2 linked regions of the Rattus norvegicus genome follow. Each later gene encodes a partner of the first gene's protein in a complex. Links are inferred from orthologs where the notes say so. Each region holds a gene or a part of one and is shown on either strand. Other genes may lie near its edges.

Evidence for each region. Proteins that work in one complex are often made in the same cells at the same time.
Region 2: the proteins of S100a10 (region 1) and Hltf are in contact, whole or in part, in a crystal structure (PDB 4HRE), measured with the Homo sapiens proteins. The link is inferred for Rattus norvegicus from reciprocal best matches to the Homo sapiens genes S100A10 and HLTF. Residues at the interface, in NP_002957.1 of Homo sapiens: Phe42, Asp58, Leu59, Asp60, Gln61, Gln70, Ser74, Leu75, Ala77, Gly78, Leu79, Ile81, Ala82, Tyr86; in NP_001305864.1 of Homo sapiens: Thr32, Phe33, Phe34, Pro35, Phe37, Phe39.

What each region holds. Positions count from the first base shown.
Region 1 is NC_086020.1:181,899,530-181,909,945, reverse strand, and holds the start of S100a10 (protein S100-A10), read right to left. Parts: upstream 5,493-10,416; 5' UTR 5,468-5,492; intron 1-5,467. UniProt on the Homo sapiens protein: Because S100A10 induces the dimerization of ANXA2/p36, it may function as a regulator of protein phosphorylation in that the ANXA2 monomer is the preferred target (in vitro) of tyrosine-specific kinase.
Region 2 is NC_086020.1:104,473,728-104,484,311, reverse strand, and holds the start of Hltf (helicase-like transcription factor), read right to left. Parts: upstream 5,548-10,584; 5' UTR 5,373-5,547; coding exon 5,353-5,372; exon of another isoform or gene 5,293-5,352; intron 4,155-5,292; coding exon 3,947-4,154; intron 1-3,946. UniProt on the Homo sapiens protein: Has both helicase and E3 ubiquitin ligase activities. Possesses intrinsic ATP-dependent nucleosome-remodeling activity; This activity may be required for transcriptional activation or repression of specific target promoters.

The sequences.
Region 1 (10,416 bases):
CAAGTCACAAGTCCAACCTGATTACTATAGAAGCTTCAGCCCTCCAGGTATGTCTAAGGGACCTGGACCAATCCGACTCTAGAAACTTGCTTATAGATGGGTTTGTCCACTAGCTGTGTATACTCTACTAACACCCTGAACTTGAGCTCTAGCAGTAAAACGCAGCTGTTCTGTCTGAGTACACACTCCATAAAGGTCACTATCAAGTTCAACAGAGAAGGAATAGGTAAGGATATATACAAACTCCTTAGGAACCAGATACATTTTTGACACAACTATGCAGAAGCATTTTTCCTCACAAGCTGGGGTGCAGTGAGAGACCAAGGGCCTTTCATCTCATGAAGAGTTCAAAGAGAGGAAAGGAAATGTTGTGTTGAGTACAATGAACTGGAGCAAATATTTCAATCAGACCCAGTGCCTAGCGGAGCTCAGGGTCCACATAGAGTTTTGAGTAAAGATGGGAGAAGCTGGCAAGTTCTGCTGAAGAGTAACAACAGGAACCTGGGGTGTGCTTTGGTCTGAATCCTGCTGCCTGCTCAGATCCCTAAATTCTGTAACCTACCCCAATACACACACACACACACACACACACACACACACACACACACACAACCCTAGGGCCTCACTCATGCTATGCATGTCTTCTATCACTGAAATATATGTACACCCTGACCCTCTTTTCACTTTTTCTTTTGAGACAAGTCTCACTAATTTACCTACACTGCCCTTCACTTGAGAGCTCCCTGCCTCTGTCAGTCGAGTAGATGGTATTTGGAGTCTGAGTCATTAGGCCTGGATTCTAAATACTATCTTTTACAGGGTCAAAGGTGCGGTGCTCAACACTAGCATTGAAGAGTTATATTTAAGGATTGTAACTCTACCTTTCTCAGAAAAATTGGAATCAGCTGAAGAATCCCACACCTGAGAACACCGCCAACGAGGATCTGGCATGATCCATCTGCATGACGTGGACAGCAGCAAGTTTATACTTCAAGGTGTACACTAGCATGAAACCCAGAGGAGCCCCTCCCCTTTTCCTCTATTATACCGCTCCCATCTTCCCTACCACCCCAATCCCGGTTATAAGGTTTCTAGTGGGTCAAGGGAGTCCACCTTGCCTGGATTGATTTAGAAGCACAGAGTTTAAGAGAACTGGATTTCAGTCACCTAAAGAAGGACATGGGATGGCCACCTCAGTCCTTCAATCATTCAGGAAAGGAGCCAGATGTTAACGAAGTTTTTAAAGTCTGTGCCCACATTCAGTGATACAGAGCTTCCTGACCTCCTCTCACAGCAAAGATTCCAGATTCCAGACAACCCAGCTGTTAGAACTAGGTGGATATCCATTGTACTTTCCTCCCAGGCATCAGGAGGTATTGCAGAGCTAAAGAGGGATTCCCCCAAATAGAAAAACAGACCAATTTAGGGCTCCCAGGAAATGCAAGCTGAAAGCAGAGAAAATCCTGGCCTCACTTGAATATCTTCTTCAGGAGGGTGAGGTCAGGCTACCTTGCCTAGAGTTAAGGTCTGAGGTGAGTCCACTCCTTCCTGCCTTACCCAGGGGGCCATGAAGTGAGTGTTCCTCCCTGAAGCTTCATCTCTGCTCTAGGTCCTCCCACCCCAACTTCCCTGTTTTATTCCACAGAGTGGCAAACAGAGCAGCCTGTTCAAGATACCTGCAATAATAATATAGAGATAGGGGCTGGCCAGAATGTTAAAACAGAGTTGAAATTCACAGCATATGCCTTTGATCCCAGAGGGACCAGGGCTACAGGCAAGAAATTTTTCTGGAGAAAGGATTACAGTAAGGCAAAGCAGCCAGGTGTCGTAGGAACAGTCCCAAGAACTATGAACTTAGCACTCCGGGGTGAGGAGGGGCTCATAGGAGAAATGGAGTTATCAGCCAGCATGGGTTATATAGACCCTGTCTCAAAATTCAAAACAACAAACAAGCAAACACACGTAACAGAAATGTGAAACTGCTGCTCTCTCAGATGAATGAATGCATCATATTGTCCTTCTCTACTTGGATCCTCCGTTGCTTGGATGGGGCTTGCATTTACAGGGCTCACTATAGCTCTAAAATCCGTTACTAGAATGAAAGCTTTTTAGGAACTTTAAGAATCTGGCATCTCCAGTCCACCTAACGCCCCACGAACTCCACTCCAGATGGGGTGGGCCTTCCCCTTCTAATTGGGTAACACTTTGTCAGGAGGGCCTTGGGCATTGGTCTGAGATTTTGGGGAACCTCTTCAGTGTCCCTGACACCCCACTTCATACCTGGTAAATTCAGATACACCTGTTCTCCCCTGCCTCCCTTGGCTCTAGAGCCATCTTGAACCACACATTGATCTGCTTTAATGGAGAGGCCACTGGATGACACTTGCTATATGAATCACTCAAAGCTGAGGCGATGCAGATGCAATTGCCTTTAGGCAGATGACAACAGTGTAGCTCAGAGCACAGCAGCTGAAGGATGTGAGTTTTGGGGAGGGTGGGAGCAAGGCCTCATCAGGGTTCACCTATGAATGGAACAGCAGAGTACAGCATACACATTCCACACACAAGGGGATAAACTATGTGTCCTGCTAGGCAGGTCTGGTCAGATGCACAGGCTTCTAGTTCCTGCTGTTCCTCTTGGTTTCATTCATCACACTTGTCATTCCTTGGCTAGCACTTCAGGAAAGACCCAGGCCTTACCTACTCACCTTTTACTGAACCATTTTATTCTGATAACAGCATATGCCCTTCACATTAGCCTGAGTAACCTGTCTTAACTCTCTCTTCCTCTGAAGAAAACAATTCCTGTTTTTGTTTCCTTTTCAGCACTTTGCACACACATCGCCTATGGTGTGAAGTACCAACAATGTTCTCATTTTCTCTGTTGGTCTTTGTGGGAGGGGCATAAGATGGGGACCTATACCCAGGTCTAGGCTATAAATCTCAGAAGCTGGAGGCCTGATTTACTTTGTTCATCTGCATTTTGTCCATATCTTACTTTTCTTGAAGCCACCCAGAATTAATTATGGTGTCGGTGAACATAACCATCCATTATTTTAAAACATTTATAGGGTTTCTGTTCTTTTGTTTAGGAAAATTTGAAGAACAATTCTTTTTTTTTCTTTTTTTTTTTAATTGAATCCAGAGAACATTCTTGAATCAGACCCTTAAAGTATATTTGGTGTAGGAATGAGATTAAAACAATGGATTTTGGCTTAGCCTTTCTCCCCAAGTAAAACTTGCTTACTACAGACATGATCTGCAAAAGAAAGTTCCAGATGCAATTCAATAGCAAGAAAGAATTCTAAACAAAGAACACCCACCCATATTTCCATGAGACGCTGTCATGATCCAGCAACCCAACCAACACTGGCTACAGCAGCAAGTGGGAATTATTTAGTTGAAGGGGTGAAAGTTGGTTTTAAAAGTCAATCAGTCCCTCCCTGTCTCCCCCCAGGGGTGGCCCATGGTCCTGAAGAACCAGAGCCTCACACATGCCAAGCATGTTACTCCCTTTGCTTCTGAGATGTGATTCCTAAGTTGTGAATCCTGAGAGCCCATATTTTAGTCCAGCTTTTCCCAGTACTGTGAACATTAGTTTATTTCATAATTCTGAAAGAATCCCATTGTTCCCTTAGCTAGGCTTAAATGGATGGAGTGTGTCCAAGGCATATCAAATACTTATGTATTTGCTGGGAGGGGAGGCGGGGAGACACGACTTTTTTTTTTTTTTAACTGTCAGTGGAAAGCAGAGAAGCATCCAGACTCAGCCCCACCCAGCCCAAGGCCTGACCACATTGGGGTGACTGCTCAGAGGCTGGCCAGAGGCCAGGTATAGAAGGACAACAGTCTGTCTGATGTTGTATTCAGGAAAAGCCAGGGAACAACATCACTCAGAAATCAGGGTGGACACAAATAACTGCTCTATGCCAAGCAGACCAAAAGAAGAAGAAGAAAAAGGAGGAGAAGGAGGAGGAAGAGGAGGAGGAGGGAGGGAGGGAAGGAAGGAAGAAAGAGAAAAGAAAGAAAGACAGACAGACAGACTCAGACTGTCAGCGCCGATTAAATAGACATTGCATAGGAATCTGGGTGGGGGAGACTAAGGAAAATGAAATTTCAGTGAATTACATGAACTCTTTCTTGCCCCAACTCCTGACATTATCGTTTCCAATTTGTTGAAACACACCGAAGGCTCTCTGACAGGGTGTCTCCACCTAACTTGAAGTACAACATGCAAAAAATCCACTCCTGGAAGCTGAAAGGCAAGCTTCAGGAGGAAAGAGAGAGACTTGGCGAGGTTCTGCCAGTCTAATTACTGCCCTCACAGGCAGCTCAGTCAAGAAACCCCTCCTGCAGGTTGGTGGCCAGTTAGTTGTGACTCATTTCCTCTTGGAAAATGCCCTGGAAGATGGCACAGTTCCTCTTTTCCTTCAGGGAGCGATCTGTTCAAACGTTCACAGAGAATCAGCAACCAGCTAGGCCACACCCAAGGTCTCACAGCTGAGTCACAGGCCTCAGATCACTAGGAGAATCCAGGAACCCTTTGTGCTAGCCCCACCCTGCAGAATGTGTCTAGCTTTCTTGGGGTGGGGGTGGGGGTGGTAAGAGAATGAAGGGAGGTGGGTTCTATGGATTTCAGAATGTGGCTCCGGGCTCTTTACTGGTCTGTTACTTTTCTGTTTTCCTTGCCACCCACTCAGTAATTTCTCCAGAGTCCTCCCAGGCAGGGCTGGGGAAGAGCTCAGTCATTCCTGTAACCAAGCTCAGGCCATGAAGCAGGTACATCCCTCTCACTGCACCGCATCAAATCAAGCCGGGACTGAAGATTCTACACCAAACCTGCTCTCGCTCCACCTCTCTTTTATTTAATTCAAGTAGCAAGAGAAACACTTGATAGAGAGAAACTCACCCCAACACCTCTTCATAAAGACAACGAATAGAAAGTCCTTCTTTAAAGATCCTTCTGAACCAACCTGCAATTTGCACTGGGGCTAAGGCAACCAGCAGGGCAGGGTCCTTTAGAAAGGGAATCCTCCAGCTGCCAAGCCGCCAGTCCTCCCTGGCCAAGGCAGCTCAGACAATCTGGTTGGGGAGGAGGCTATGAACATCTGGACTGAGGTCTGCCTGTAGTCTAAAGCTGCAAGGAACTGCCAGCTGGGACAGGGCGCAAGCAGGTTCTGCTAAACTCCAGTTAACTCTTAAGACTAGTTCCAAAGTAGAAGAGATAAAAAGGAAGAACTACACGCTGAAAGTGAGATCAGAGGAACGGCGGCCCGGACGCCAGGGTGGGGTAGCTGCAGACAAGAGTTGGCTTCCTCCAGCCTAGCGGGTCTGGGGGCGTCCGAAGCAGTTTGCGAGCTGGAAGGGGGCCTCACTCAGGCCCGCGGGGCGAGGCACTAGCGAAACCCCGCTGGAGGCTGAAGCAAGCGACTGTGGGGTGAGGGCAGATATTAAGTGCGGGACTCACCTGGGCCCTGAGGCGCTGCAGTCTTTGGAAGAGCTGGGCACACAGCGATGGGGCTGGCGCCGAAGATCGCGCGTCTTTGTACGCGGGGCGGGTACCGAGGGCGGAGGCGCTCCGGAGTGGGAGGAGCCTGGAGGGCAGGCAGCGGCCCTCCCCACCCATCCCTTCCTGCCCCCCACCCCACCCCACCCCGCCCCAGCTCTCTCTCTCTCTCTCTCTCTCTCTCTCTCTCTCTCTCTCTCTCTCTCTCTCTCTCTCTCCCTTCCTCCCTCCCTCCCTCCCTCCCTCCCTCCCTCCTGTCCTCCCTTCCTTCCTTCCTTCCTCTCTCCCTCCCCCTCCAATCTTTCAATCTCTCTGTCTCTTCCTCTCCCTTCTCTCTCCAAAACACACACACACACACACACACACACACACACACACACACACACACACACACACACCCTTCCCACTCACTCTGCTGACATAGTAACTTTGCCGGTCTCCAGGGACAGCCCTATTGTAAACGTCCCTACGGAGGAATGCTCTAGTCTCGGATATTTCAGGGCATTCTCATACAGCGCCTCGCCCTTCCTCTCGGGTTTGGTTTTAGAAAGTGGGTGAGTGTAGAAATAAGAATCCAGCGGTCCTGCGGGGTACACTGGCCCAGAACCAGAGCCAAGCGCCTCTGCGGGAACCTACAGGGTTAGGAATTATTTCTTGGATGAGCAGAAGGAACGCGCTGAACAGGTCTCAGCTTGGCCACCTAGTTTGCTCTAGGATCTGATCCTGGGGTCTCCTGTGTTGAGTCCAGAAGCTAAGGCCCCTGAGCTCCTGCCTAGCCTTACCACCACTGGGTGGTGAGGAGCAGGGCGGGTGCATTTGTCAGCTTCAGGGGCATCTTTGTAACAGGGTTCACCTTTCCTGGTACAGCTTGTGGTTTTGCTTGGTCTATAGTTGAGTTTCAGTTGTGGCAAATATTGCTAAAATCTGTTTCAGAGCCTCCTTCTTGACTCTACTTGGCCCTAAAAAGCTCTTTAGAAGAAATTTCTAGAAGATATTTAGTGACAACTTTAGTGTCCCCTGACAATCACACCCTTCCTCGATACTTTATTTGTGGTTTGGGGTTAAATGCATACTACTATCAGCTATTGGTGACACAGCCCAGTCCCTAGTACTGGGGTTTCCCCTGTTCCGGGGAAGTCCGGGAAAGGATGAGAGATTCCAAAGGGATAAACAAAACTAGGGAATTCTCCACACACTACCACGTGACAGTCTTGGCAGCGGTCAGGAAAACCCAACTTGGATCAGCTCTCTTTTCTCCAGGGTCTCTGAAACCTCAGTTCTGGCCCTTCAAAAGCAATTCTTCCAAATTTTCCTCAGGCCTCCCCGGATCATCGCAGCTGTGGAGAAAATCTCAGGGGAAATGCAATTGAATTTAGAATATCCCTACTCACTGGCTTTCTTCACTGGGGCATGAGCCTTAGAATGTTTAGTATGTGCTAGAGCCGGGGGATTCAGAGATGGGGAATCAGTGTCTTCTTTCAAAAACCTCCAAGATTTCTGAAGATATAGTAAACAATTCCCTGTGATTGCTGAGCAGTACAAGAATGTTGGACGGAGGGCTTCTAAGGCCCGGTAGTGGGGCAACAATCTGATTCACGGAGGAAGCAACATTCGATAAGAACTCAACAAATAATCACTGTAATTCTTTAATCTACAAAACTATTGTAACCTTTTAGAAAGGTATATAGGTGCTCATTGTATCTGAGTGCCTTTTTAAAAATTATTGCGTGTCTGGGCGCGTGCATGTGCCTCCATGTGTATGTGTGCCAGAGCACATGCGTGGCACTGTAAGAATGGTTTTTAGGAGTCAGTCCATTCCTGTGGGATTTGGAGATTGAACTCAGGTCCTCAGGGTTGCATAGCAGTACCTTTACTCTCGGAACCCCTGTTGACCCAAACTTCATATTCCCTTTGTGGAGGGGTTTGGAAAGCATAGCAACTAAAACAATAAATAATTGTTTATAAATGCATGGACCAAAGAATAAACATTTTCATATATTTCTTTCTAGTCCTATGATTAAATAGATTTTTTTAAATTGGTGGGGTTTTTTTTGTTGTTGTTGTTCCACAGTATTCATCCTCTTCTCGTCCCTCACTGTTTTTGAGGTGCCAGGATTAAATGGGATTGAATCCAGAGCTTCTCATGCTAGGTAAGCCCTCTACTATAGAGCAACATCTCAGCCCACTTTTGCTTTTTTCTGTGTCGCTCTTTATCAAGAACATCATGTTCACTTTTCATCCCTTTAGTGACTATTTTCTTCAATCTGCTAGCAGAACTGTAGGAATCTGGAGCCCTAGTGGGCTCAGTCTTAAAAAGACGCTAAGGGCACATAAAGGATAGACACTACAGCAAGTGCTTTCCCACTGACTCCCCATGAAGCTTCCAGTGTTGAGGCTGGGTGTGATGAGGTATGCTTGTAATTCTAGCACTTGGGAGACAAAAGGGTTGTGCATTTGAGGTCAGCCTGGGCTATAAAGTGAGGCTGTCAAAAAACAAATCAAAACCAAAACCTTCCTCTCCAGAAAAAATGACTGCAGCCAACCAAGTTCTTCCTGCAGGAAATGGCTATGCCTTGTTAACCACATGGACAAAGTGAAATCAACCCTACTTCCCTACTAACAGTTGACTGGAGCAGAGACCAGCTCTGTAGGCTGTACAACTTTCTGCATGGGTCAGAGCAGGGTAATACACACAAAGAAAACAGTAACTTCCAGGACCTATGAACACTTCACCCCATCAGTATCTAGGGCAGATTGGTCCTAATACAGAGAGAGCAGGCACTGGAGGAACAGGGGCTGGATGAAGTGTGGTCCCAGGAATAAAGAGGAAGAAACTTACAAGTTGTCCACCAGGCAGGCACCTTCCAGTGTGCAGAATGCTACGAGCAGGAGAGTTGCTTTACTGGCAGTGCCACACTTGAGATTCTTCCTCCTTCTCCAAGAGGCATAGCAGTGCTTCTCATTTCTCCTCCATAGGGTAGAACCGTTTCTGGAAAGTGGCCACTCAATCGGGGATTATGTTTCTAGCACCTCTTTCACAGTCCCAGTACCGATTGGGACTATGTGACTAGTCACTCATCCATGGAATGGGCTTGCCGGTGAAGAGGATCGTTTCCAGACTCAGGCAACAAAAGGTGATTTCCCCATGTTTCTTTTTACTGTTTGCCAGGACTCAAAGGCTCCTCCAGTGGAAGAGCCACAGCTGGGAAGAGCTTTGGTCCCCAAATCAATATAAGGAAGAAAATTACTTGTTGACCATCACTGGGCAAGTTGGTATGGGGGTGGGGTAGGGATTTGTAGAAAAGACCCAAAAATTAGGGGGTTTATTTGCTATGACATAACCTGAGTGAATAAAGTGATATTCCTTTGAGTGCTTGTATTTGGAGAAGCAGCACAAGGTCATTGACCAATCTGTCCTAGGTACTGATGGGGGGAAGTGTTTATAGTTCCCGGAAGTTACACTGTGTCTTTGTCTGTAGAAGTGTAAACTAGAGCTGAAGAAACTTTATTGGTCACTTTCAATGCTCTTGGAGGAGTCATAGCAGTCCTGCAAGGCTCTTCAGTTACACTGATCTGGTCAAGAAAAAAGAAAGGAAGGGAAACTGATTTAAATAAATATGACTATACTAATGTAGTCAAAATAGTGAGAGCTGAATATTTAAGTTGTTTCTAACTGTTATAGTGTCATAAGCAATAAATCACATAATGCATAAAAGGACCAATTTTGAACAAACATCTTTTCTCACGTGCTTGCTTTATACAGATTCCTACAAGGAAGTGCATCTTTTTTTGTGAATTTGCTTATGTGGACCTTAAAGAACCAGTAGCAAACAGGCCCTTTGGGGTGGTGGTGTAGCTAGGAGAAAAAGTCAGATGTTGGTGTGGACTCAGGAATGTCCCCAGTGGTATGGAGAAAGAGCAAAGTCCCTAAGCTCCAAGTCCTGACACCCAACACCTGTGTCTTTGTTGAAACCTGTTTAGGAAGTGGGAACTTGTGTCTAAGGTAATAAGAAGCCACTGAAGAATGTAAACAGGAAGTGAGCAGCTCTCCGTAACCCTAAGGCTCTATCTAGGCACAGCCCCACAGCCAGTCAGCCATTTCATTGTGGGTAAATGGGGGTGGATTTATTCATCTTCTCAGGTGCAGGAAGGAACTGAGCCGCCAAATGAACCAATGACATTGTTCTACTTGGTTTCAGCAGGTCCCACGCCTTCTGTGTGATCTTCTACTTTGCATGAGAAGTAGCTTTAGAAAAACCAGGTTGGACTGTCACTACTGAAGGTGAGTGAAAGATTCACTCAGCCAAAGCTGCATAACTAACTTATCTCTGTCTTAAAGTGGCAGCATTGGAAAGACTTGTGTTTTATTGTTGTTTTTCCTACAGAATTCCTCCCCTTTAAGCAATATTTACATTTAATGTGTATGTATGCCATTGTGAGTGTATGTCATATGTGTATAGGTCTCTGCACAGGCCAGAAAAGGATGTTGGATGCCCTGGAACTGGAGTCGCAGGGACTGTGAGCTACTTAATGTGGGTGCTGGGGAAAAACTGCTGTTCTCTGAAAGAGCAACAATTTCTATTGACTCCCGAGCCCTATTCCCAGTTCCCCAGAAATCCTCTTAGATCAGGGCTGAAAATCACCACTTCCATGTGTAGGAAAGATGAGAATTCAAATGATTATACTCTATCAAATATTTACTGGGCGATTTATCAATTCCCACAGTGACTTGGCTACTGGAAATATACCAATGACCAAAACAGAAAATCTCTGACCCATAGCTGTGTTCGATACTTTTATGTCAACTTGACAGAAACCAGTGTCTTTCTGAGAGGAGGGAATCTCAACTAAGACAATGTCTCCATAAAATCAGGCTGGACGCAAGCCTATAGGGAATTTTCTTAATTGGT
Region 2 (10,584 bases), about 77 Mb from region 1:
AGGAGTGAAAATGTGGTGCCTATATACAGTGGAATTTTATATAAAGAAAAATAAAATGTGCAGGTCAATAGATGACGCACGTACACATTACACTTAAGTAACCCAGACCCATAGATAAAACATCACATGTTCTCAATCATGTGGATCTTAGTATCAAATCTTCAGACTTGTTTGCTTATTTTGGAACACCTTACAATCCAGGAAACCAGAAATGAACAATGAGGGGAGGGGCTTGAGGGTAGGAGAAAAGAGAAATAATGTGGATGTTTAAGTGGGAAAGGGATGAGAGGAATTTTAGGGGAGAATTACCATGAAGGTTGTATGTAAAAGGCAATACAGAAATTGTGTGTGTGTGTGTGTGTTTGTGTATGTGTGTGTGTGTGTGTGTAGTATTTTCCCACATAAAAGAGGTTAGAGTTACCCTATATGAGGACTATAGTCATCCCAAAATCCATAGGTTTCCAAACAAAAGTTCAGTGCCAGGTTTGGTATTCTACAAGTAGTCCAAAAGATTCCCAAAACAATATAGGATATTGTCTTGGCTCCTGGCTGCCCAAAAGAACTTGATAGTAAGAAAAGCATAAAAGCACCATATACATTGTCCATAGGACCTGGAGAAATGAAGGTGGTACTGACTTAGTCCCTGCTGAGTAGCTTTCATAATACGAAAGCGCTATGGAAGCCTCCGGGACAGGGAGGAGGCGAGTCTTCTACAGCCTTACCCAGCTGTAAACCACGTGAACTGCAGTGACTGGAGTGACAAGAACTGTCCAAGTGTATAACAGTGGAATGAATGCTATGGTAGTAACTACCCATTTCCCGTTCTGGTTTATTTTTATTAATATGATTTCAATTATATGTGTATATTTATTGAAAAAAATGATAGAATATATAAAGTAAGCTATAGTATAAAAGCTTGATGAAAATTCAATCCAAGTAATCTAACTTTAAAATAATGAAGATATTACCTGCAAATACTGTACAGTGGGAAAATGAACTAAACATTTAATCTTTATATATTCTTATTAGTTAACTAGTATCATAGAAATTATTCTAAGATCAATATAATTGATTGTTCTGAGATTAATAACTATAACCTAACAATTCATAGAAGTGTTATTTAGAAAACAATGTCAATTTTGAAATAGTACAAATATGAAGTATGACTCACAAAAGGAAGTGAGAACCAGAGAAAAGATAAAGACCAACTAAGAATGGATAGATTGTTAAAATGACTAGAAGAGAAAATTTAACGAGCAAACACTAAGTACTACAATCAACATAAGTGTAAACAGAGCATCTGAAAAGCACGGTAAGAAAATGAAATGAAGTGAGGAAAAACAAAAATGGAAAATCACAGCACAAGGATTCGGAGGCTATAGTAGACATGGACTATTAGAGGCAAACAGGAAACAGATGGAGAAGTACATGAGAATACAGAGTTTCTAAAACAAATGGCTTCGGAATAAAGCAAACATTCACAAGTATAATTTTAGAATTTTGTTTTAGAATTTTTTTGAAATAAAAAAATTATAGAATACCTTAATGAAACTATTAGACTTCTTTAAAAAAAAAAAAAAAGAGGGGGTTGGGGATTTAGCTCAGCGGTAGAGCGCCTGCTTAGCAAGCGCAAGGCCCTGAGTTCGGTCCCCAGCTCCAAAAAAAAAAAAAAAAAAAAAAAAACCCACAATATCCTTTAATCATCAGGCCAAAAAAAAAAAGTCAATTCACTTAAGACAGAAAATCCTATGGTCATCAAAATTTTTATGAGCATTATATTGTGCAACATTAGGATATACAGAAAAAGTGTGAACCAAGCACTTTATAGTTGGCCAAACTGTAGAGAAACAAACGAAAATTATGACTTCACCAAAACTTAAAAAAATAGTTGTTCTTCCCTAAGTAATCTCCTATACACTACATCTCATACAGCTATTAAACAACCTGAGTTATTCCAACATAAAAATACAGAGAACAAAAACATGACAGATAGGAACCACAGAATTCCTCCAAGGAACCTCCTGATATCATACTTCAATTTAAAAAAAGGTTCTGAAACCATCAAGTACTCAGAAGGCTGAGACAAGTGGACCACTGTGGGGTGATATCACAGGTGAGGCAGGTGCAAGATAGAATGAGGCCTGTCATTGGACAAGAAGGAAGGATGGGCGGGGAAAAGTTTGAAGAAGAGACAGGAATGGAAGAGGGGAGGAGGAGGGAAAGAAGCCGAGAGACAACATGGAGGCTGACGTTAGGATTCCACGCTGTACCCTTACAGGTTGTTATGAATGTTCTTAAGGGATGGATGTGTACAGGCTTTATATGTTTAGGTGGGTAATTATATCTAATCAATTGGATCAGAGGTTATTGGGTTGTGTGTTCTTTCATGTAGCGATTTAAGTGTAAGAAAGTGTGCGATACTGGGCGGCTGCAGAATTGGGATACGTGCTTCTGACAAGATATTTAGCAGATATTTTGGGGCACCGCAGTTTCGGACCTAGAGCAGGTAAAAAGACAGCATTTTATTTTTTATATTTTTACAACAGACCACTACGAGTTCACTATGAGTTCAGGGTCAACCTTGGATTACTTAGTGAGTTCCAGACCAGCCAAGGCTGGAGTCTTAATTCAAACCCCTTCCAACAGGGGATTAAAAAAAAAACTCTTAATGAGTGTTAATATAAAAATATGAAAAGGGCTAGAGAGATGGCTCAGCAGTTAAGAGCACTGACTGCTCTTCCATAGGTCCTGAGTTCAATTCCAAGCAAGCACATGGTGGCCCACAGCCATCTGTAATGGATTCAATGCCCTCTTCTGGTGTGTCTGACAGTGTACTCACATAAATAAAATAAATTTATAAATTTAAAATAAATATGAAAAAAATGAGGGAAGGAGAAAGTAAGAAATCAACAAGATTCCACAAAAGAGACCTTATTTTTAAATATACACATCTATAAAAGGAAATTAGAATGGACTTTATAGCCCATAGCAGCCAAAACTAATATAATAACCCTGTCTTGAGCTTAACTGGAAAAAATCCATTTTAAATTACCAATAAAATGCAATTATTGAGTGCTTATTACACATATGGGTTAATTCCATTAATAAAAATGAAATGTAAAAACTGTGAGGGTTCTTTAAAGATGTCTTTTATTTCTAACCATGTACATGTGTGTATTGGGGAGGGTAGTCATGTATGCCAGAAGAGGGCAGTGGACACCTGGAGCTGTAGGTGCTGTGAGTTGCCAGCCATGAGTCCTGAGACCAGAACTGCAATTGTCTGTACAAGCAGCAAGAATTCTTAACTGCTGAGTCATCTCTTCAGCCCCCAAACTGCATTTTAAAGAGATATACACTGAACTGTACTAATGTAAAGTGATACAACTGGTATCTGTTTTTACAAGACCAAAAACAAGAAAGCAAACATAGAAAATACTTACTAACCACTGATCTTATTCTCATTTTGTTTGAAATTTTCTCGTAATAAATTAGATAACATTAAAATTATATTACTAAATGACAAAGATGAAACTAATAAGGATTATTGTCCAAAGAAAATTATATATATTCTCAATCTGTCCCCTTTTCTTTCTCTCACACACACATATACACACATTCAGTTCAGAGAACAGGAATGCATTAGAAAGAGCAGGAAATAAAAGATAAAAACTAAATGCAAAACCTGGTGGCTTTAAAGTCTTTTTTTTAAAAGTCATTTCTTAAATTTACCACATACCTCAGTAATTAGAAGGATCAAATGTGTGGGCAAAAGTACTTTATATACTGCAAGCACGGTAGAAATGGTAAAAAATTGGTCAAAGTTGGTAAAGGTATTCATGACTAACCTTTCATTCAAAGTAAAACATTAATTGTATATATCACCTTTTAATATAATTTACTGTTAAAACCATAAAAATACAATTTTATTATCTAATCCTATACTTACAACTCCTGTGTAATAGCGTATTCCAACAACTTGTCCTCTCATAGTTCCAAATAAAACCAAATCTAGCTCTTCATCACTAGTTTGGAAGTCATCTGGAGGGATAATGTCTTGGAATTCAAAACGTGGAAAGAAAGGTGGGTATGAAAGTCTTGGAATATTTTCATGGGCTCCATACTGGGCAGACTGTGAATACTTCCAAACAGAATCCCTATTTTAAAACAAAACAGAAAGCTAAAACCACAGAACTTGATTAAGTTTTCCCTCCTAGTTTCAGGCTGATCACTTCCTTATATTTTATTTTAGCAAATGAAATGCTATGTGGCAACAATCACTTAACAATTTCCCTGAATAAATCAAGAATCCAGTGGAGAAGGTTATCCGAAATCTGACCTGTTAGATACTGGAACTGCTTTCCTGGTGAAAAGAAAACTATCTAAAGTCGGAAGCTACAATTACAATGTCAAAATTTTCGGTGCCTACGTGATGAAGAAGAAATGGATTTATAAAAACAAAATAACCATTACAAGATTTTTTTTTCTTTTCGTTTTTTATTTCTCTTTTCTCCTCTCCCTTCCCCTCTTCTCTTTTGTTTTTTTTTGAGACTGTGTTTCTCTGTGTAGCCCTGGCTATCCTAGATCTCACTCAGTAGACCAGACTGGCCTCAAAGTCGGAGATCCATCTGCCTCTCCCTCCAAGGTACTCTTAAAGCCACGTGCCACCACTGCCGGCTATGAAAATATTTTTGACTTTTGACATAAATACATGCACAGCATCTTCTGCTTTAACTCCTTCTGAACAGAACACATTAAATTGGGTATCTAAACTTGGGACATCATAGAGAGCTGACCTGAAGCCCCTTTACGTATACATCGCCCTATTATTTTAAAGGATAGGGATAATTATTGCAAGAATTGGAAAAAAAAAAAAAAAAAGAATTGGGCATGAAGACCACTATAGATGATGAAAAGATGCGTTTGCTGGAAGCCTCCTAGAAGTTGTCATTCTCCTAAAAACACACAGGGCTATCAAGTAGCGAGTTTCCCTTTCAGCTCCTCTGCAAATACGTTTTAGTAAGCTTCTGCACAGTACCAGGAGACACACAGGATCGGATTGCCATAAAATGGCTAGCAAACATTGGGATAACAATGGTGAATAAATCATTCCGGTCGGGTTTCAGATCCCCCCCTGCAGTCTTTGACGCAGATTCCCCGAGGTCTTAGCAGCCGATTCTCGGGTCAGCCGAGACAGTGCTTTGGTACCTCCACCACAACACCAGCAAGAACCCGCAGAAGGAATGAAAACAGCACCACAGGAATACAAGCTGCACCTATTGCCCGGGCGCGCACCTTCACTTGAGCAAAACGCAGAGAAACTGGCCTCACGCCCAGCCCCCCTCAGCCCTTCACCTCTTGAACTTCCAAGACATGGCGGGGGGCGGAGTGGCTTTGGAATGCCCTGGGCACCCCGGATCTTCTCAGACCGTCTGAAAAAGCTCCTCAAGGTGTAGCGGCCCAGGGGCCGGAAAGCAAGTCAGAATCTGGAGGCCACAAGCTCCCCGGGAGACATGTCTACGCCCACTCCTTCCTGCAACAATGTGAGGAACCAGTGACGTTCGGTGATCGGCACTGCGAGTGCCCAATCGAAAGAAAGAGTCTGAGAAAACCAACCAATAAGGATACGTGAGGGTTGGGAGCTCCGCCTTGTGCTGCGATTCAAAGGCGGTGTGGCGCGCCAGGGTTCCACCGAGTTCTGACGTGGTCGGAAGCGAGTTGCGCGGGAAAACATCGAAGCGTCTAGAATGAGGCACCTGGCTCAAGGTCATGACGGACTTGGGGCAAGAACATGACTTCTAGCCACTGCCCTGATGCCTCAAGGATATTCTCATAGGTCAGACCCTCTCTCTATCTGATGTAATGCCTAACAGGGCCTGCCTCATTTCTTCTCCTGAGCCCTGACTATATTTGTTCTTAGTGACCTCCGTGTATGCGAGACCCTGAGTTTTGGAAATCTGAGTGAGAACATACAAATTTCCCTCTCCCACCTCGTTTTAATCTTGTTTAAAGAAATTTTCTTCCCTTGGTAGAAGAAAGCCATAAAATAAGACAACCTTACAATTCCGTTGCTGACAAAGGCAGACTGGTCCAACATTAGTGTAAGGTCTGAGGTGGTGGCTTGGGCCACATGTATTTTCTCAGGAAACTGAAAGAGGCACTGTAAAGAAATTTTAGAATCTAAAGGGACATTCCACTTGGAGTTTTGTGTGCACCAGTATCAGCCACGGTAAAGGTGATTCCTTGGGGGGGGGGGGGGGGGAGAACCCTAACGTATTAAGAGACAATCTGTGCTGGAGGCAAATGTCAATAACCACGGCCTGGGAACACAGATTTAGACCACCCCAAATGCTATATTTCAACTGAAGCAGTTTCATGAAGTTTTTATACTAACAGAACAAGGAAAGTCATAAATGAAGATACTTTTCCAATACATTTGGTGTGACCATTAAGTAGGTGGGAAAAAGTATAATGAAGAACCTCTATTAGAGGCCTAAGATACTCGACATTGTCCTTGGCTTTTTAGTTTGTTGACAGGTAGTGCTGTTTGTACATTCCAAATTATTTACCCTGTGGTCATAGAAACATGTTAAGTACAGAGGAGGACAATAAATGGCTACTAAGAAGGCTAAAATGGCTCAAGATAATTTGGCTCTGGGTTTGCAGCATTCCAAACAGTGCACAATCATAGTAGCTCAGTTAAGGGGCCTTGCAGAAGATTCATTTGGCGGGGCATCATCTTTCCTGGGATTGTTGTGCGTGCTAAGCAGGCATTCTTCCTCTGAGTTGCATCTCTAGCTGTCACTGAGAATCTGTAGAAGGAAGTATTTCATTCCCCCAACAGGAAACTTAATGCAGATGTTTCATTTTCTTCAGTTATTTTACCATCTTCATGGTGTTTTATAATACAAATGCAGAGGTGGGTTTTGGTTTGGGATTTTTCAGTAGTGGGTATTGACTCTTAAGGCCTGTGCAAAATAGGCAAGCTGTCTATCTACAAGAAATACCCCCAGCCTTTATTTTATTACAAGGACTCAAAAAGTTACCCAGGCTGGGGATTTCCCAGGACAACGTAAGGCAGAAGCCTCAGTCTCCACAGTAGCTGATAATCTTTGTATGTGTCAAATTAATAAAGCTATCTATGCTCATTGGACTAAATATTACCAATTCTTATAACATGGTTCTTTAACAGCATTTTTTCTGCTGAAAATAGAAACCCAAACCTCAACAACAAAGACAAACCACTATTCATCAGCCACAAAAAGAACTTATTTCCTCAAGTAACCATGTAGAAAAGAAGCCCTATACAAGCTTCCTGTTGCTAAAGGGGTTGCTGTCACTCCTCAATCACCTGAGGATTCACCTGAAAGCTGAACTGAAAATTCCTAAGCTACTGCCCCAAGATATGTAAATGTATACATGTGTGTTTCTGTACTATCAATTCACTAAAAATGGCATATAATTTTCTATTGATAAATACATGTTGAATAAATGAGGAGGGTTTCTGGAACTGAGACTGTCTAAAAGGAATGCAACAGAGTATTGTAGAACAAGCCACCCAATAATTTCTTGTAGCCTCCATGTATATAACCCTGCAGGCATAAACACACACATACCACACATACACACACTTATGCACACATATACTCACATAAACACAAAAAATAGCCAAAGAATATTTAAAAAGAGAAAAATTATTTATTTATAACTGCTTTTTCATTGATTTTCAGCCTTTTGGCTAAGATGAAGTGTAGTATAACTGCTTTTTCTCACATAACCAGGTATCAATAGATTAGAGTTCATGACAGAAGACTGGGCAAACCATAACTGGAAGAACAAAAAACATGATGGAAAACTAATACTGAGTAAAGTTAGTTCAGCTTGGCTAATTGATATCAAGTACTTGTTTTAAAAAATAAATAATAGGGCTGGAGAAATGACTTAGCAGTTAAAAGAACAGACTGTTTTTCCAGATGGACCTGGTGTCAAATCCCAGCAACCACATGGCTGCTCACAACTATCTGTAATTAGACATACGTGCAGGCAAAACACCAATGTACATAAATTGAAAATAAATTATTTCTTTAAAAAGCAATGAATAGCATTCATTCCTTTTTAATAATATCCTTGTAAAATGAGTTACTGTCTAATGAGTCCTTCAACCCATAATGAAGACTATGGTTGTTTGAGGCCTGTTTCTGAATGAGGTGTAGTTGGCAAGGTTGTTCCCCATAAGTAACAGAATAGTGCAGTTTCCAGAAGCCAGTCATTTTCACATATATCCTCAAAGAAAACTGAATTGTTTCAAATCTAAGGCCAGAAGATAAGCTAACCTCCACTCCTACCCACTGAGACAAAAGGAGATGTTTCCTTTTCGTCCTTTAGACACTGAATGTTCTTCAGATAGCCAAGTTCAGAGCTGTTTGAGATTAGCTTGCAATGTGGCCACCTGCTAGGACCCTTTTGTTGTTGTTGTTCTTGTTGTTGTTCTTGTTCTTGTTCTTGTCCTTGTCCTTGTTCTTATTGTTGTTTTGAAACTGGGTCTCACTACATAGCTCTGGCTGTCCTGGAACACACTAATTAGACCAAGCTTGCCTCAAAAAGATCTATCTCCTTGCCTCTGCCTACTGAGTGATGGATTAAGGGTAAACACACCACCCCTGGCTCTGAACAGGGGCCTTTACACAGAGGCAGCACCATTCCAAGACTAGCTTTGCACAGAAATTTAAGTGGAATTATTTCCAGCTATTGCCAAGGCCATACCAAAGCTATCTCTTTTCTTTTACCTAATGAATATTAGAAAGATTGGTAAGCACTTTCTACCTTTCAGTAAACATTAGCCTACTTTGTATCTAAAAAATTAAATGACTAAAACTTCAACTCTCTATGCAATTTTGATATGATAAAATCTAATTTTTACATGGGAAACTATCATATTGGTAAATCAAACCGTCACGTCCTAATGTTCACCAAACTTTCATGTCCTACAGTCCTAGAAATGCCAAACTAAAGTCGAACTCACCATTTCAAATACTCTATTAGAAAGTGAAAGTTTAAAAATGAAGACTAGGGGCAGTCAAGCTGCAAGAGCCCTGCGGTCCAGACTGAACCGAAATCTGAACAGACCCAGTCAAACAGCTCCCTGCACCCAAATCCCATGTGAGGGAGAGCTAGACCTTCAGAGGGGCAGACATACTTGGGAAACCAGATGAGACTGCTCTCTGCCCACATTTCTGACTCTAGAGGAAAAGACGTAGCACCATTAGGGTTCCCTGTGCACAGGGACCCAGAAGTAGGGGCAGGCCCTTCTGGTTGCTCCCCTCACAGAGAGCTGAAACCCAGCCCCAAGGAGCGACTTCAAGCTGGAGACCAGAGGTCTGTAAGACCAACTTTTCTGTTCCAAGTGACCTGTCCGGTGGACTCAAGACACACACCGACAGGAACACCTGAAGACCAGTGGACAGACAGGAACGACAACACACTTGAAAGCAGGACACTCTGTTCCCATAACTGGCTGAAAGAAAACAGGAAAACAGATCTACAGCACTCCTGACACAGGCCAATAGCACTGTAAAGCCACTGTCAGAAATAGCAGAACAAGGTAACACCAGAGACAACCTGATGGCAAGAGGCAAGCACAAGAACCCAAGCAACAGAAACCAAGACTACATGGCATCATCGGAGCCCAATTCTCCCACCAAAGAAAATACTGAATATCCAAACACACCAGAAAAGTAAGATTTAAAATCACATTTGATAATGATGATGGAGGACTTTAAGAAAGACATAAAGAACTCCCTTACAGAAATGCAGGAAAACACAGGTAAATAAGTAGAAGCCCTTAGAGAAGAAAGAAAAAATCCCTGAAAGAATTACAGGAAAACACAATCAAACAGCTGAAGGAACTGAAAATGGAAATAGAAACAATAAAGCAAGCACAAAGGGAGACAACCATGGATATAGGAAACCAAAGGAAGAGACAAGAAGCAGTAGATGGAAGCATCATCAACAGAATACAAGAGATAGGAAAGATGATCTCAGGACCAGAAGATTCCATAGAAATCATCAACACAACTTTCAAAGATAATGTAAAACATAAAAAGATACTGACCCAAAGCATACAGGAAATCCAGGACACGTTGAGAAGATCAAACCTAAGGATAATAGGTATAGAAGAGAGTAAAGATTCCCAACTCAAAGGACCAGTAAATGTCTTCAACAAAATCATAGAAAAAAACTTCCCTAACCTAAAGAAAGAGGTGCTCATAAACATAGAAGCCTACAGAACTCCAAATAGATTGGACCACAAAAGGAACTCCTCCCGTCACATAATAGTCAAAACACCAAATGCACAAAACAAAGAAAGAATATTAAATGCAGTCAGGGAAAAAGGTCAAGTAACAAATAAAGGCAGACCAATCAAAATCACACCAGACCTCTCAACAGAGTATTAAAGCCAGAAGACCCTGGACATGTCATGCAGACCCAAATCTCTTATTACACAAATACCAGCCAAGGTTAGTGTACCCAACAAAATTCTCAATTAACATAGATGGAAAAACCAAGATATTCCATGACAAAACCTAA